Linked DNA regions of Stegostoma tigrinum. The protein of the gene in region 1 binds, or shares a complex with, the protein of each later gene. Links are inferred from orthologs where the notes say so. Each region holds a gene or a part of one and is shown in the gene's direction. Other genes may lie near its edges.

Region 1 (4,893 bases):
GATAATGCGTTGTATCCAGAGGTTGGTGGGGTGGTGTGTGAGAACGAGGGGGATCCTCTTGGGGCGGTTGTGGCGGGGGCAGGGTGTGAGGGATGTGTTGTGGGAAATACGGGAGACGCGGTCAAGGGCGTTCTCGATCACTGTGGGGGGAAAGTTGCAGTCCTTAAAGAACTTGGACATCTGGGATGTGCGGGAGTGGAATGTCTTATCGTGGGAGCAGATGCGGCGGAGGCGGAGGAATTGGGAATAGGGGATGGAATTTTTGCAGGAGGGTGGGTGGGAGGAGGTGTATTCTAGGTAGCTGTGGGAGTCGGTGGGCTTGAAATGGACATCAGTTACAAGCTGGTTGCCTGAGATGGAGACTGAGAGGTCCAGGAAGGTGAGGGATGTGCTGGAGATGGCCCAGGTGAACTGAAGGTTGGGGTGGAAGGTGTTGGTGAAGTGGATGAACTGTTCGAGCTCCTCTGGGGAGCAAGAGGCGGCGCCGATACAGTCATCAATGTACCGGAGGAAGAGGTGGGGTTTGGGGCCTGTGTAGGTGCGGAAGAGGGACTGTTCCACATAACCTACAAAGAGGCAGGCATAGCTGGGGCCCATGCGGGTGCCCATGGCCACCCCCTTAGTCTGGAGTCAGTCTGATTTTATTTCTAAAAGTAGGAATTTATTAAAAGCCACATTGACAGACTGTCTATAAATTGTGTGCTTTTTGAACAAAATAGAATGTATATGCAAATGCAAATTCACCTCACAAATTTATATGTGAGTGTGTATGTGTATATGTATATGTTTGTGTTGGTGAGGGAGAGAGAGAGAGAGAAAGTGTGTGTGCGTGTGTGCGTGTGTGTGTGTGTGTCCAAAAGCACACAATTTATAGACAGTCAGTCAATGTGTCATTTTATAAATTCTTATGTTAGAAATAAAACCAGTCTGACTTCGAACCAAAACATGAACAAATTCTAAACACCTAACATGTATTGTCTGACCTAAAATGTCACCTCTTCTTTACACCGATAATATCTTTAGTTCTCGCAGGGAAGTGACTCGAAAGAAGTTTGGAGATTCACACATACATATTAATAAATTAAAACCTTCTAACTGATTAAAGATTTAACAGCATCTTATTGAATTGAATTGAAATGTTAAATAAAAACCGAAAGAACTGTGGATGTTATAAATCAGGAACAAAAACAAGGTTGCCTGAAAAGCTCAGCAAATCTGGCAGCATCTGTGATGTCAAAAACAGAGTTAATGTTTCGGGTCCAGTGATCCTTCCTCAGAACCTCAGAAGAGTCACCGGACCCAAAACGTTAACTCTGTTTTTTCCTTCACAGATGCTACCAGACCTTCTGAGCTTTATCAGCAACTTTGAATTGAAACATTTATTGTCACGTGTATTCAATGTAAAAATACACTGAAAAGTGTGTACCTTGGCCATACATACATGGCGCCATTCACATTAATTTTTGAATAAGAAAAAAAAAATAATTTGAGAGGCTTAACTTTCCTTGCAGGTTTAATACATCCTGATCAGTTGTGTGACTTTTTGATCTTTTATTTATAAATTCTGTGTGTGCGCGTGCGTGCGTGTACTTCTTTCTCACTTCGCCTGATGAAGGGGCCTGTGTCCCCAAAGCTTAGGTTTTCAAATAAACTTGTTGGACTATAACCTTGTGGCGCATGATTTCTGACTTTGTCTACCCCAGTCCAACACCAGCACCTCCACATCATAGTTTATTTCAGCCATTAGAAAAATAGTTATCTGGAATGTTGCCCCTGGTTATAGTAGGGAATTTATGTGGTCCAGGCCAAAATACTACATTTATCATCATTTGTCCTTTTAACCAAAATGCCTCTTCGGCTACGACAATCTCCACTAGCGCTTGGAGTCGGTAAATTCCGGTAGCGCCCGGAGTCGACAATGTTCGTCAGCACTCGGAATCGACAAATTCCGGTAGCGCCCGGAATCGGCAATGTTCGTCAGCACTCGGAATCGACAAATTCCGGTAGCGCTCGGAGCCACTCGTTGGGGCAAGCCGGCTTTCCCAAAGATGGCGGCGTTCGGAATATTGAGTTATGAGCACAGGCCGTTGAAAAGGCCTCGGCTCGGGCCGCCAGACGTTTATCCGCAGGACCCCAAGCAGAAAGAGGTAGGAAAAATCGTCGAGAATCCAGGGGAGGACGGCCAGTCACTCAGTAAGGCAGCCGGGCCGGCGGGGTGAGTAAGCCGGCGCGGGGAGCCGGGCCTAGAGCAGCGTCCATGTAAACAATAAACAGTCCGTATGTATGGGTGGACTTGGGCCTAGAGTAGCCTTGCAGACAGCAGCAATAAGCTGCTCTTGTACTGTCGGTCCCTAACCGTGGGTTGGTCACCCTGTCTCTGTGAGATAGAGTTTGGGCTGGAGCACAGCTCAGCCATTTTAACAGTTAACTACTGGACCGACCTATCAATAACACCTGGTTAATATGGAAATTCGTCATAGATGGTACAAATCTTCACTGTCTCTATCTGGGAGAAACCCAGAAGCAATCAACTTCCACAGTGTTTGCGATTGATCTTGAAGCTGATATATTTTTACTCTTAAAATAATCGGGAAATTTTGAGGATCTGTTGTGCTTCCACACTCAAATTACGCCACACTATATCATCAAGTACTTTTTCTTTTCAGTTAATGTACTAGACCTCAAACCTCAAAATGAGAAGCTATTTAAGATCACTGAACCACATTTTCAGCTGCACAACATACACCGTTACTGTCATTTAGATTCTTTTTGGCTGCCCGCTGAACTCCATGTCCTCCTTAATTAATTTTGAGACCCGTCCTTTCAAGTAACTCTTGGGCCTTGCCTGATTAAAGCTTTGCAATATTTTTTGGCCAAAAAGTCCCATTTAGAATTAATAATAATAATTTCTGGTAGTACTTATAAAGTTGGGCAGAGTTAATTTTTCAGAGTGAGATGACTTGTCCTGAAACATCAGTTCAGTTTCTCTCTCTAGATACTACCTGATCACAGTATTTCCAACACTTTTGTTTTCATTTTTGATTTCCATCATTCAATATTTTGCTTTTTTCTTCCCCTCATGTACGACTTTGATTTCCTTGAATCTGTTAGAATCTTGAGAATTTTTTGGAACTGTTTTTAAGAAAGGATGGTGGAAATAAAGTGCTTGAATATTTTTAAGACTGAGGTGGATAGAACCTTATTAAGCAAGGGTTGAAAGATTGCCTGGCGGGAATGCGGATTTGAGGTTGCAATCCGATCAGCCATGGTCTTATTGAATGCTGAAGTAGACATGAGGGGCTGAATGGCCTGCTCTTGCACATTGTGGTGTGGGAATAAAAGGGCAATTATCATCATGTTTCTTACCCTCTTCATTGTGGATTCTTTCTGGGTACTGATCTTTTAAAAACAAAAGACGTGGTACAATTTCATTGGTACCTGTGATCCTCTAGTACTTTGCCCAAGTGTCTGTTGTTCATGTAAGCTTAGTGTCTACTGACAGGTTCGTTAACGAGCAAGATTGTGCTTGCGGGAGGTGAGGGGGGATGGGGAGTTCTAGGCTTTGGGACAGGGGTTGGGGAGTGTGGGTGCTCTGCTAGTGAGGAAAGATATTGGCTCAAAACTGAGGTGATACTGCTTTCAATCATGCTGTTGTAACCTCCAGCTGTTATTTGTCCAACATTGTCTTTATCAGTTCTTTGATCTTCACCAGATAAAACTCTGACTTACTTGAAACTTCAGTGTTTGCAAGCTATTTCAGATTAAGTCGACTCACCAACTACTTATGTTTCTATCAACCTTTGTTGGTTTCTTGTTCACCAATACACTGATTTCATTATCTATTCTATGATTACAAATACTACCACTGATTCATACCGGCCTAGCTCTAGTCTTACATTCATTATGATCTTCTATGTTTGCAGTTCTGTTTTGCTGTGCATCTCCACCCCACCATTCGTACTGAACATTTGAGCTGGCATTTATTAATGTTTAGGAGGAAGGATGTGAACGAACTGCTGCCAAGTTTGTAGACTACACAAGAATAGGTGGAAATGCAGGTTGTGAGAGGGATGCAAACAGTTTATAAAGAGATATTGATAGGTTAAGTAAGTGGGTGAAGTTGGCACATGGAGTATCATGTGGGAAAATGTGAAGTTGTTCATTTTGGAAGGGAGAACAAAAGAACAGAATAATTTAAAGGAGAAAAATTGCTGAAAGCTGCAAGGCAAAGGGATTTGGGGTACTTCTACATGAAACTAACATGCAGGTGCAGCAGGTAATTAGGAAGGTCAATAGAATATTAGCCCTTAATGTAGAGGGGTTGAAGTACAAGGGTAGGGAATTCTAACTGCAGCTGAATGAAGGCTGAATGGTTGGGACTCTACTCACCAGAGTTCAGAAAAATGAGTGGTGATCTCATTGAAACATAAAGGGATTGACAGTATAAATGCTGAGAAGATGTTTCTCATCATGGGAGAGTCTGAGATCAGAGGGCATAGCCCAGAATAAAAAGATGCCAGTTTGAGATGAGGAGGAATTTCTTTTCTCAAAGGGCTTAGTGTCTTTGGAACTCCTTGACCCAGAGAGCTGTGGAGAAAGTGTCCCTTGTGTATAGTTAAGGCTGAGATAGATAGATAGGTTGATGGGGAAATCAAGGGCTACGGGAAAAATGCAGGAAAGTGGACATGAGGAATGTCAGAGATAATGAAATGTGAGGCTGGATGAACACAGCAGGCCCAGCAGCATCTCAGGAGCACAAAAGCTGACGTTTCGGGCCTAGACCCTTCATCAGAGAGGGGGATGGGGTGAGGGTTCTGGAATAAATAGGGAGAGAGGGGGAGGCAGACTGAAGATGGAGAGAAAAGAAGATAGGTGGAGAGGAGAGTATAGGTG
Region 2 (4,893 bases), on another chromosome or scaffold:
TCCCCCTATAAAGCTTTGGCACTTCCATTTCTTTTAGTCCACTATACACTGTATAAAACCAATGGATCTTATAATACAATTGTATGTGCAATAAATCACTAATTTATAACTTTGCAAATTTATTTTTAAAAGATTCCTTATAAAAGTGTTGTTCATCCAGACCCTGATAAGTATTAATAACAGAAACGATAAGCTTTTGAAACATTCCAATTACGGATTGTGGAGATCAGAGTACCAGAGCTGTCAATCAAGCAATATTTTCCCTGGGACTGTGCCACAGCGCAGAATGGATTCTCAGGCGCTTAGCCAAGTCATATTTTGCAATTCAAGTGCACTCGGGCTTTTTTTCTGAAAGAGTACGACATTCAGAGAAAGAAATGTGCAGTCTGCTAAGAGTAAATAGTGATCATAGTGTATGTAGGAGTTAACGTTGAAAAAGAAAGACGTGACCGTGGATCTTTATTGTCCTACCAACCTGTTAAAAGTACCACTGCAAATTCTTGTGCTGCCGATCCCTGAAGAATGTCTGATTTTTCACAAGTGAGTTGTTGAGGTATTCAATACTCAACTGCTTTAACATACGAAAGGCAACTTGACGTATTTCATTTTTTTAAAAAAACACATGTCTCCAATATTGAAATGGATTTTATGGTCTGATTTGTCCCTTTGGCCATCGAGTTATAGGGATCTACAGCGCGGAAAAACGCCTCCGATCCATTATCTTTCTCACTGCTAATATTTCTTGGCATGACCAGGAATCAAGTGGTCGTCTCCAATAAAGGTTAGGCTTTATTCTGAAAAATGGAACAGAAACGAGTCGCTATCTCCTTCTGCAGTTCGATGTAAACTATGTTTGATAATCTCTCTTTCGAAGAAATTAAATGGGTTTCAGTACTTTAAAAATAATAAGTGAACGCAAACTGTTGTATACTAATTCCACAAGAGAACAAGACTTATTTTCTAAACAGCAAACTGACTTCCCGATTTAGGACTATTTTCAGTCAGTAATTTGCTGATCACCATGGCAATGGCGGCCAAGGGGGCGGCTTTTGGGACGTCATCTGAAAACGCTCTATCAATTTCCCTGAGAGCCTGGAAGCGGGTGTGGTCCAGCAAGCACGTTGGCCGCCGCTTTGGTGTCACGTGATAGATAAGGGCGCCGTTTTCTCGCAGCTGGGGAAGGCGATGACCCGTCAAGTGCATGCAGCTCAACCAATGGTGACGACCGGGATTAGGGGGCGGGGCTGCATCTGATTCACGTGACGCAGCTGACTGGCGAACTGAAGGCGGTGTAGGATATGAGGCTCTCATGGGCGGGACTAAATAGACGTTACGTGACGCGTCATTTGGTGCGAGAGTGGGTGAGTAAAAGTGGCATGACGGCACGACGTCATGTGATGCACGTTGGCGGGCTATTTGTGTTCACCAAGAAGGCAAGAGGGTCAGGCTAGAGTGGGCGGCACCCATGTTCGCGGCGACACGCGTGGAGAGGCAGGACTGTCAGTGTTACGTTTTTTAATGGGTGGGGCAGGTGTCGGGGGCGTGTAAAGGAAGCGTGGTCTGGGCACGAATAGGCGGGGCGCCCCGTTTTGTCATGTGACGGTTGGAAACCATGTGGGCGGGTACCGTTTTGTGTGACGTTTTTTTGACTGGCGTGAGGTGGGCGGGCGGGTTTGTGGTATCACGTGAGGTGGCTGTTTGCGCTCGAGCCGCTTTTCTCCCGCGGCCTGGTGGAAAAGGCTGAGGGAAGATCAGCAGAAGTTGCAGTCAGATCGAAAAGATTCAAACGCCCTTTACTGCGATGTGGAAAGGCGAGAAACCGCCTGTGAGGTTCGTTAATCGTTAAACGGCGAGCCTCTTCTGTGTGAATGACTGTCATATAAAGGGGAGGAGCCCCCGCTGTAGGGCAGTTATTTATTGGAAAGCAAAACCGATGCTTCACGTTATCACAGTACACGTTTTGAAGGAAATTTTTCATATCTATTATGCGTTTATTTCTTTACGAGACGTCTTGACAGGTTTTGTTCATTTATTTTTTCCAAATGGCAAAGTGTTAATGTTTGAAACCAAAACACACGTTGCTAGAAAAACTCAGCCGGTCAGGCAGCATCTGTGCAGACAAAGTTATCGTTTCGAGTTCAAAGACCCTTCTGCAGAACCAGCAACTTTTGTTTTTTCCCTCCAGATTTTTTAGCATCCACAGTTCTTTGTTTTATTTATTTGGATTCAAGTCCCTACCTGCTCCAGGAGATAGGGACATCAGAAATAAAGTGCTAGAGAAATACAGTGATAATGGGAACTGCAGATGCTGGAGAATCCGAGATAACACAGTGTGGAGCTGGATGAACACAGCAGGTCAAGCAGCATCTCAGGAGCACAAAAGCTGACGTTTCGGGCCTAGACCCTTCATCAGAGACGGGGATGAAGGGTTTAGGCCCGAAACGTCAGCTTTTGTGCTCCTGAGATGTTGCTTGGCCTGCTGTGTTCATCCAGCTCCACACTTTGTTATGCTAGAGAAATACAGTCTGGCAGTATCTATGGAGAGAAAAGCAGTTAAGCTTTCGAGTCCAGTGATCCTTCATCAGAACTGAAAACAGCTGAGAATTGGACTTTTTGCTGATGATGTGGGGTGGGGTAAGGAGAGAATTGAATGGATGGAGATTTAGCACCGTTTCATGGCTGAAAAATAAACTGTAAGTGAGGAATGTGGGTAGCTCTTTATGACTTAAGTGCTTGGCTGTCTCTCTTTATAACTTTGAATTTAGTAAGATCAAAACAGGAGGAGGCCATTCAGCTTAAGCAGTCTTGCCTTTCAGAAATCTCGTAGCTGTCCTCCAACCTTGCTGCATATCGTCACATTTGAACCACGTCCTCTATATTTGGTTAAAAATCTATCAATCTCAATTTTGAAACAAACCATTGCCGTAGCATAAATTGCCATTTGTAGGAGAGAGTTCCTTTCTTAACTTCCTCTGCTTGAAGGGTGATAGTTTGCATCTTCTTCAGTCTTCCCTGGTACCATTCTAACAAAATTGTTGTACTCGCTCAGTATCCTTTATATCCTTAGTCAGTGATTAGTTCATCTCTGGGAACAATTGGGACACAGTTGGTGGTCCTGCTGCACAGAGTGGTCTCCCTGGATCTGGGCCAGAAGAGCTGTGTACAGGGCTAACTTTTCCAGAGGTATAAAAACCAAGTCAGAGTAGATTGATGAACATTGGGGAATAAATTCGATGGTAACAAGAAGAACATATTATGTAACACTTTTTTAATCTAAAGCAGTGTAAGGATTTTGGCACAAAAAGCGAAGTTGCTGGAGAAGCTCAGCAGGTCTGGCAGCATCTGTGAAGGGGGAAAAAAAATCAGAGTTAATGTTTCGGGTCCCGTGACCCTTCCTCAGAACTGTTTTTGGCCCTTTTTTGGCTAAAATTTCAATCTGTTCTCTTTTGGACTGTGGGCAATGATGTTATTTAAAATCTATATATCAAAAATGACTACTCCCTCACACTTCTCCAACTGAGGTGTTTACAGTCAAAACCTAATAGCACCTGTCTTAATTGAATTGTATGTCAATTTTCCAATCCGACTAACCCTCTTTGTACAGTCAACCTCTGTCTCTTCCCTCCACACTCCACTCTTCTTCCTGCCCTGCAGCCAAAAAAAATTACTGAGATGTAAGAATATTGCTACAGGACCGAAACACACACAAACTATAGTGTTATAACAATGTGTAGAGCTGGATGAACACAGCAGGCCAAGCAGCATCAGAGGAGCAGGAAAGTTGACATTTTGAGTCAAGAAGGGTCTCGACCTGAAACATCAGTTTTCCTGCTCCTCTGATGCTGCTTAGCCTGCTGTGTTCATCCAGCTCTACACATTGTTATCGCAGATTCTCCAGCATTGGCAGTTCCTACTATCTCTAAACTGTAGTGTTACCTTGGACGTTAGCCTAACTTGTAATAGGAGTCGTATCTGTTAACAGAACACTTGGTTATTTTTTTCTTTCCATACAGCTGCCCCTGTGTAAAAGCAAAGGCTTCACAGTGACTTGCGAACACCATGGTTGTGCCCCCTATTGATACTCCCACCCCTTCCAACATGGTAGCAGATGTGGTTTTTGTTATCGAAGGTACCGCGAACCTTGGGCCATACTTTGAATCTCTCCGGAAGCATTATATTCTTCCAGCAATTGAGTAAGTGGACCCTGTACTGTTTGTGATTACCCGAAGCAGACCAAGTTGGCTTTTTTCTATGAGGGAATGCTATGATCTAGTGGCTGTGGCATTGTGCTAACGTCCCAAAGGTGCTGTGCGCAAAACCGACTGATTCATTCTTGTTCTTATGGAAATGAAGCCTGTCCCCTCCCTTACCCAGTTCCACCATTTCTTAACTCCTGTACCGGTGTAAGGGAATCACTCCCTGTGCATTGATCAGGTTGATATAATAAATATTTGAAGTCGTATTGTTTGTGATAGGGAATAAAGTTTGCTTCACCATGCTGTAAGGGAGACCCAGATGCTGAAGCCAATGAAAATGATATATGGAGGGGTAGTCAAACAGACCCTTCGAGGAACAAAGTGCAAGATTTTACAGACTGTGCCCCTTTAGAAAAGAGATGACTGAGAGATGACCTGATGGAGACTGAGGATGATTGAATGGCTATACATCAGGAAGATGTTTCCGTATGCTCACAAGTTCACAGCTAGGGATCACAAATATCAGCTAGATGCTAGTAAATCTGATTGGGAACTCAAAAAACATCTTTACCCAGAGAATAGTTTGAACGTGGAATGTGATGCTTCATAGTACAGTTGAAACAACTGCTACAATTGGGGGAAGGTCAATACATAAATGAAGGATCAGAGTGTGAAAATTGTGGTTAAAAAGGAGTGC
Region 3 (4,893 bases), on another chromosome or scaffold:
CTCAATTTGGCCTCCACCAGGGCTACTTGGCTGCTGACCTCATTATAGATTTGATTGAAACATGGATAAAAGTGTTGAATTCCATGATTGAGGTGACAGTGACTGCTGTTGATATCAAGGCAACATATTGACTAAGTATGGTAAGATTGAAGTCAATGGCAATCACATGAAAAACTCACCAGAGGAGAATATTAAACAGAAAAGAAGGTGGCTATGCTTGTTAGAGGCCAATTATTGCAGTCACAGGGCACCGGTGCAAGAGCTCCACAGTTAAGTGTCCGATATTCATATTCATAACGATATTCATCAATTATCTTCAATCTATCATAAAGTTAGAAATAGGGATTTTCACTAATGATTGTGCAAAGTCAGGGTCATTTACAACTCCTCCGCTACTGAAGTAGTCTTAATTCATATTCAGCAAGATCTGGAGAATATTTAGGCTTGAGCTATGAATTGGCAAATAAAAGTCACATCATGCAAGTGCCATGCAGTGAACATCTCCCATTAGAGAGATTTAACCATTCCCATGATATTTAACGGCAATTCCATTCCTGAATCTCTGACTATATACATCCTGGAAGTTACTATTGACCAAAAACAGAGCTAGACCAGCCATATAGTATGGTTGCCAATGCAGGTCAGAGGCTGGAAATTTTGAGGCAAGTAAACCTAACTCCCCAAAACGTGTCCAGTATCGACAAGGCACAGGTAATCTGATACTTTAAGCAACATTTTTATTTGCCGCCTAAGCTCAGTAGAAGCCGTGTGTACCATTTACAAAATGCACTTCACCTAGGCTCCTTTGACAGCATCTCCCAAACCCAGCACTACTAAAACGGAAAATGAGAAGGCTATCACATGCAAATTTCCCCCCATTCTGACTTAAAATATAAGGCTGTTTGTCGATTATTGATGGGTTAAAATCTTAGAACTCTGTTCCAAACAGCATTGTGAGCGTGAGATAGTCGGAGCTGCAGATGCTGGAGAATCTTACATAACAAGGTGTAGAGCTGGATGAACACAGCAGGCCAAGCAGCATCAGAGGAGCAGGAAGGCTGATGTTTTGGGTCTCGGCCCGAAGCGTCAGCCTTCCTGCTCCTCTGATGCTGCTTGGCCTGCTGTGTTCATCCAGCTCTGCACCTTGTTACCTCAGTATTGTGAGCATCCCTACTTCAGGTGGAATGCAACAGTTCAAAAAGGCAGCTCACTACCACGTCCTGCAAGGCAATTAGGAATGGTTAATAAAAGTGGGCCTGTCCAGTGAGGCGCACTTCCAATGAAATTTTTTTAAAAAATTCCCTTGCAAGAACAATGCTGAAATGAGTCGAAACTTCAATTTCCATGCATAAAGAAGGAATATAGCCTGCGGTTTAAGTGCTTTCCTGGGTTCCGACATAGATTCGCACCCAATCTATTTTTGGATCGATTCGAAATGAGGTTTTTGGGGGAAATTTGAGGGTAATTTGGGCACGGGAATGAATTTGTAAAGTTCTGGGTGGTGTCTGAGGTGGAATTCACAATTTGACACAGGGCTTTGCTGTTTCCTCCAGGTGCCGCACGGGGGCAGTGGCCTTGGGCGTTCAGTCTTCAAGCAAACAGGAAAGCCGGGGCCTCACTCACTGTCGCTGCTTTCAACGAGGCACCGGCTGAATGTAAAAGTCTCCGCCAGTTTACAGCGTATGTAGTTGAAATCTGAATGTGTAAGTGAATCGTTTGGAATACTGCTTTTATTTTTCGATTCGAATTCGCACTTGCAAACGGGGAAAGGAAACTTTGAAACGAAGCTGTTTTGAGAAAGTGCGGAGGCCATCGGAGCACGGCGGAGGATGAGAGGAGACGGAACGGCTCATCCCGGAAGCGGAAACTGCTCAAGGCTTCCGTGGATCGAAGGGGAGGCGGCGGCGGTGGCAGGGGGCCGCGAGATGGCGGTTTCCATGGAGACACAGCTCCAAAGCATCTTCGAGGAGGTGGTGGTGAGTGATATTGGGTTAGAGAGATGGGGATAGGGTGGAGAGAGAGAGAGAGATACACCAGGGAGAGGGAGGGAGAGAAGGAAGGAAGGAAGGAGTGAGTGAAGGAGTGCCTGTTATGAGTAAATCACCACAAGCTACCGTTAATTCAGCAACTTATTAGGAAATCTCACAGACAATCAAGTACTGAAACAATACTTTAAACTATTGAGCAAGTATAAGCCTGTGACTAAATTTACTCAGTACCCAATTAATGGTGAAATTTGGCCAGATTTCCAACCAACAGTGTTGTATCTCTGGAGGTTTCCAGGGTTCGGTCCTTCTCTAGTGTTGTTCTTCTTAGTTCTGCTGTTGAGTCGTTCTGGTGTTGGGTTCTTATACAACTTTCTGTCTGTCAAGATCGCAGTATGACATTATTGATATCCTTTAGGTTTGCTCATCCCCAGTATTGATTACACTTCTGGAGATTTCAAGTCTGCTGCTTGCCTTCATATCAAAAAATTAGCTCCATTGTTCCCCGTTGCGTTAAGATCTCTTTGAAACATGGCTTTTTTCCCCCTCTTCAAAACATTACTTCTGCAGGCAGGTCTAAATTGCCCAAATGTGATGAGGCAGCAGATTGTCAAATAATGTTATCTCTTGTCTCCCAGGAAACAGCTTGTTTATGTTGTTCCTGTAGCTCTTTTCTCCCAGGGTGGTTAATTCACATGTCGCTGTAATCCCTTTTTCTAACAGTTTCTCATTCTTCCTTTCATCTCTAGAAACAGTTTTCCTTTCATCTCTAGAAACAGTTTATCTCGAGTTATTGCCGTTTCTTTCAATCCATGTGTACCGATTTAGCTCAGTTAATTTTTCCAGTCCATGTACAGTTATTAAAATTCTGAAACGTATGTTGTCAAAAGAGAAATTGGGTTAGGTTTAGACAGAGAGATAACAGGAAGAGGGAGAAATCTACTTTGGGTTAAAGAGAGCAAGAGAGAAATTGTTAGGGTTAGAGGAGAGAGACAGAGCTAACATTAGTAAGAGTGAGGCACCAGTAGGGGGATGGAGTGGGGAGAGAGTGAGACCCACCAGAAAGAGAGCGAGAGAATTTATTGCCCATTCCTAGTTGCCCTTGAGAATGTGCTGGTGAGCTTGTACCTACTTCGGGTTGACCCGCAATGCCATTAGGGAGGGAATTCCAGAATTTTGACCCAGCGACAGTGGAGGAATGGTGATATATTTCCAAGTCAGAGTGGTGAGTGGCGTGGAGGGGCAGTTGCAGGTTGTAGTGTTCACATGTATTGGCAATCCTCAACCTTCTAGGTAGAAGTGGTATGTTTGGAAGTTGTTTTAAGACCGTGGGAAAAGAAACAGAATTAGGCCATTCGCCCAACAAGCCTGCTCAGCCTTTCAACCCGACCGTCTTTGGTCAATTTATGCTGTGCATTTTGTAGATCAAACATATATCTGCTACTGAGCATTGTTGGTTTTGGGAGTGGATGCTTGTGAATGTGATGCCAATCAAGTGGACTGCTTTGTCCTGAATGATGTTGATCTTCTTAAGTGTCATTGGAATCGCACCTATCTAGGCAAGTTGGAGAGTATTCCATCACATTCTTGATTTCTGGTCAATGGTAACACCAAGGATGGTGTCAGTGGGGGATTTAGTGGCGTTAACACTGAATGTCAAGGAGCCTTGGTTAGACTGTTTATTTTTGGTGATGGCCATAACCTGGCATTGTATGGCATGAATGATACTAGCCATTTGCCACTTGTCAGCCCATAACTGAATAAAGTCCAGATCTTGTTGCATTTGAACATGGACTGCATCATTATCTCAGGAGCCATAAATGATGTTGAACATTTCAGTTGTCAGTGAACATCCCCACTTCTGACCTTATGATAGAGGGAAGGTCATTGATGAACTAGTTGAAGATGATTGGGCCTCGAACAGTACCCTGAGGGAATCCTGCAGAGTTGTTCTGGGATCTCCAACAATCACAATCATCTTCCTATGTGTCAGGTATGACTCCAACCAGCAGAGAGTTTGCCCTGATACCCCTTGATTCCAGTTTTGCTAGTGCTCCTTCTTGCCACACTCAGTCGAATACTGCTTTGATGTCAAGAGTTGTCACTCTCACCTCAGCCCTGGAATTCACCTGTTTTGTCCATGTTTAAACCAAGGCTGTAATGAAGTCAAGAGCTGATTGACCCTGGTGGAACCCAAACTGGGGATCAGCTGGTTTACTGCTGAGCAGGTGCTGCTTGATAACACTGACGTCACCTTCCATCACTTTCTTGATGATTGACAGCAGACTGATGGGGGTGATAATTTGCCAGGTTTGAGTTGTCCTGCTTTTTAGGCACAGGATATACCTGGGGAATTTTCCATGTTATCGGATAAATGCCAGCGTTGTAACTGTACTGGAAGAGTTGGCAAGGGGAGCTGCAAGTTTAGGAGCTCAGGTGTACAGTACTATTGCTGAATGTTTTCAGGGCTATAGCCTTTGCAGAATCCGGTGCCTCCAACTGTTTCCTGATATGACATGGTGTGAATTGAATTAACTGAAAGCATGGAATGTGTAATGCTGGGGACCACTGGAGGAGGCTGAGATGGATCATCCACTCGGCACTTCAGGCTGAAGATTGCTGTGATGTATCAACCTTATCTTTTGGTTGATGGTCACTCTTACAAAAGTGGGCTTTTCCAACATTGAGGATGGGGATGTTTGTGAAGCCTGCTCCTCTAGTGTGTTGTTTAGTTGTCCATCACCATTCACAACTGGATGTGGCGAGACTGTGGAGCTTAGATTTTGATCCATTGTGGGATCGCTTAGCCCTGTCTAATACTTGAAGCATATGCTGTTTAGCATGAAAATGGTCCTGTTTGGTAGCCTCACCAGACTGACACCTCATTTCTCTATGTGTGGTGCTGCTT

The links.
Region 2: med12 (region 1) and med25 share a complex: the UniProt entries of both Homo sapiens proteins name them as parts of the mediator complex. The link is inferred for Stegostoma tigrinum from reciprocal best matches to the Homo sapiens genes MED12 and MED25.
Region 3: med12 (region 1) and med23 share a complex: the UniProt entries of both Homo sapiens proteins name them as parts of the mediator complex. The link is inferred for Stegostoma tigrinum from reciprocal best matches to the Homo sapiens genes MED12 and MED23.

Annotation. Positions count from the first base shown.
Region 1 is NC_081368.1:38,216,800-38,221,692, reverse strand, and holds the start of med12 (mediator of RNA polymerase II transcription subunit 12), read left to right. Parts: upstream 1-2,025; 5' UTR 2,026-2,048; coding exon 2,049-2,147; intron 2,148-4,893. UniProt on the Homo sapiens protein: Component of the Mediator complex, a coactivator involved in the regulated transcription of nearly all RNA polymerase II-dependent genes.
Region 2 is NC_081391.1:15,913,267-15,918,159, forward strand, and holds the start of med25 (mediator of RNA polymerase II transcription subunit 25), read left to right. Parts: upstream 1-1,679; 5' UTR 1,680-1,830; intron 1,831-4,013; 5' UTR 4,014-4,059; coding exon 4,060-4,193; intron 4,194-4,893. UniProt on the Homo sapiens protein: Component of the Mediator complex, a coactivator involved in the regulated transcription of nearly all RNA polymerase II-dependent genes.
Region 3 is NC_081357.1:71,147,433-71,152,325, reverse strand, and holds the start of med23 (mediator of RNA polymerase II transcription subunit 23), read left to right. Parts: upstream 1-1,587; 5' UTR 1,588-1,829; coding exon 1,830-1,976; intron 1,977-4,893. UniProt on the Homo sapiens protein: Required for transcriptional activation subsequent to the assembly of the pre-initiation complex. Component of the Mediator complex, a coactivator involved in the regulated transcription of nearly all RNA polymerase II-dependent genes.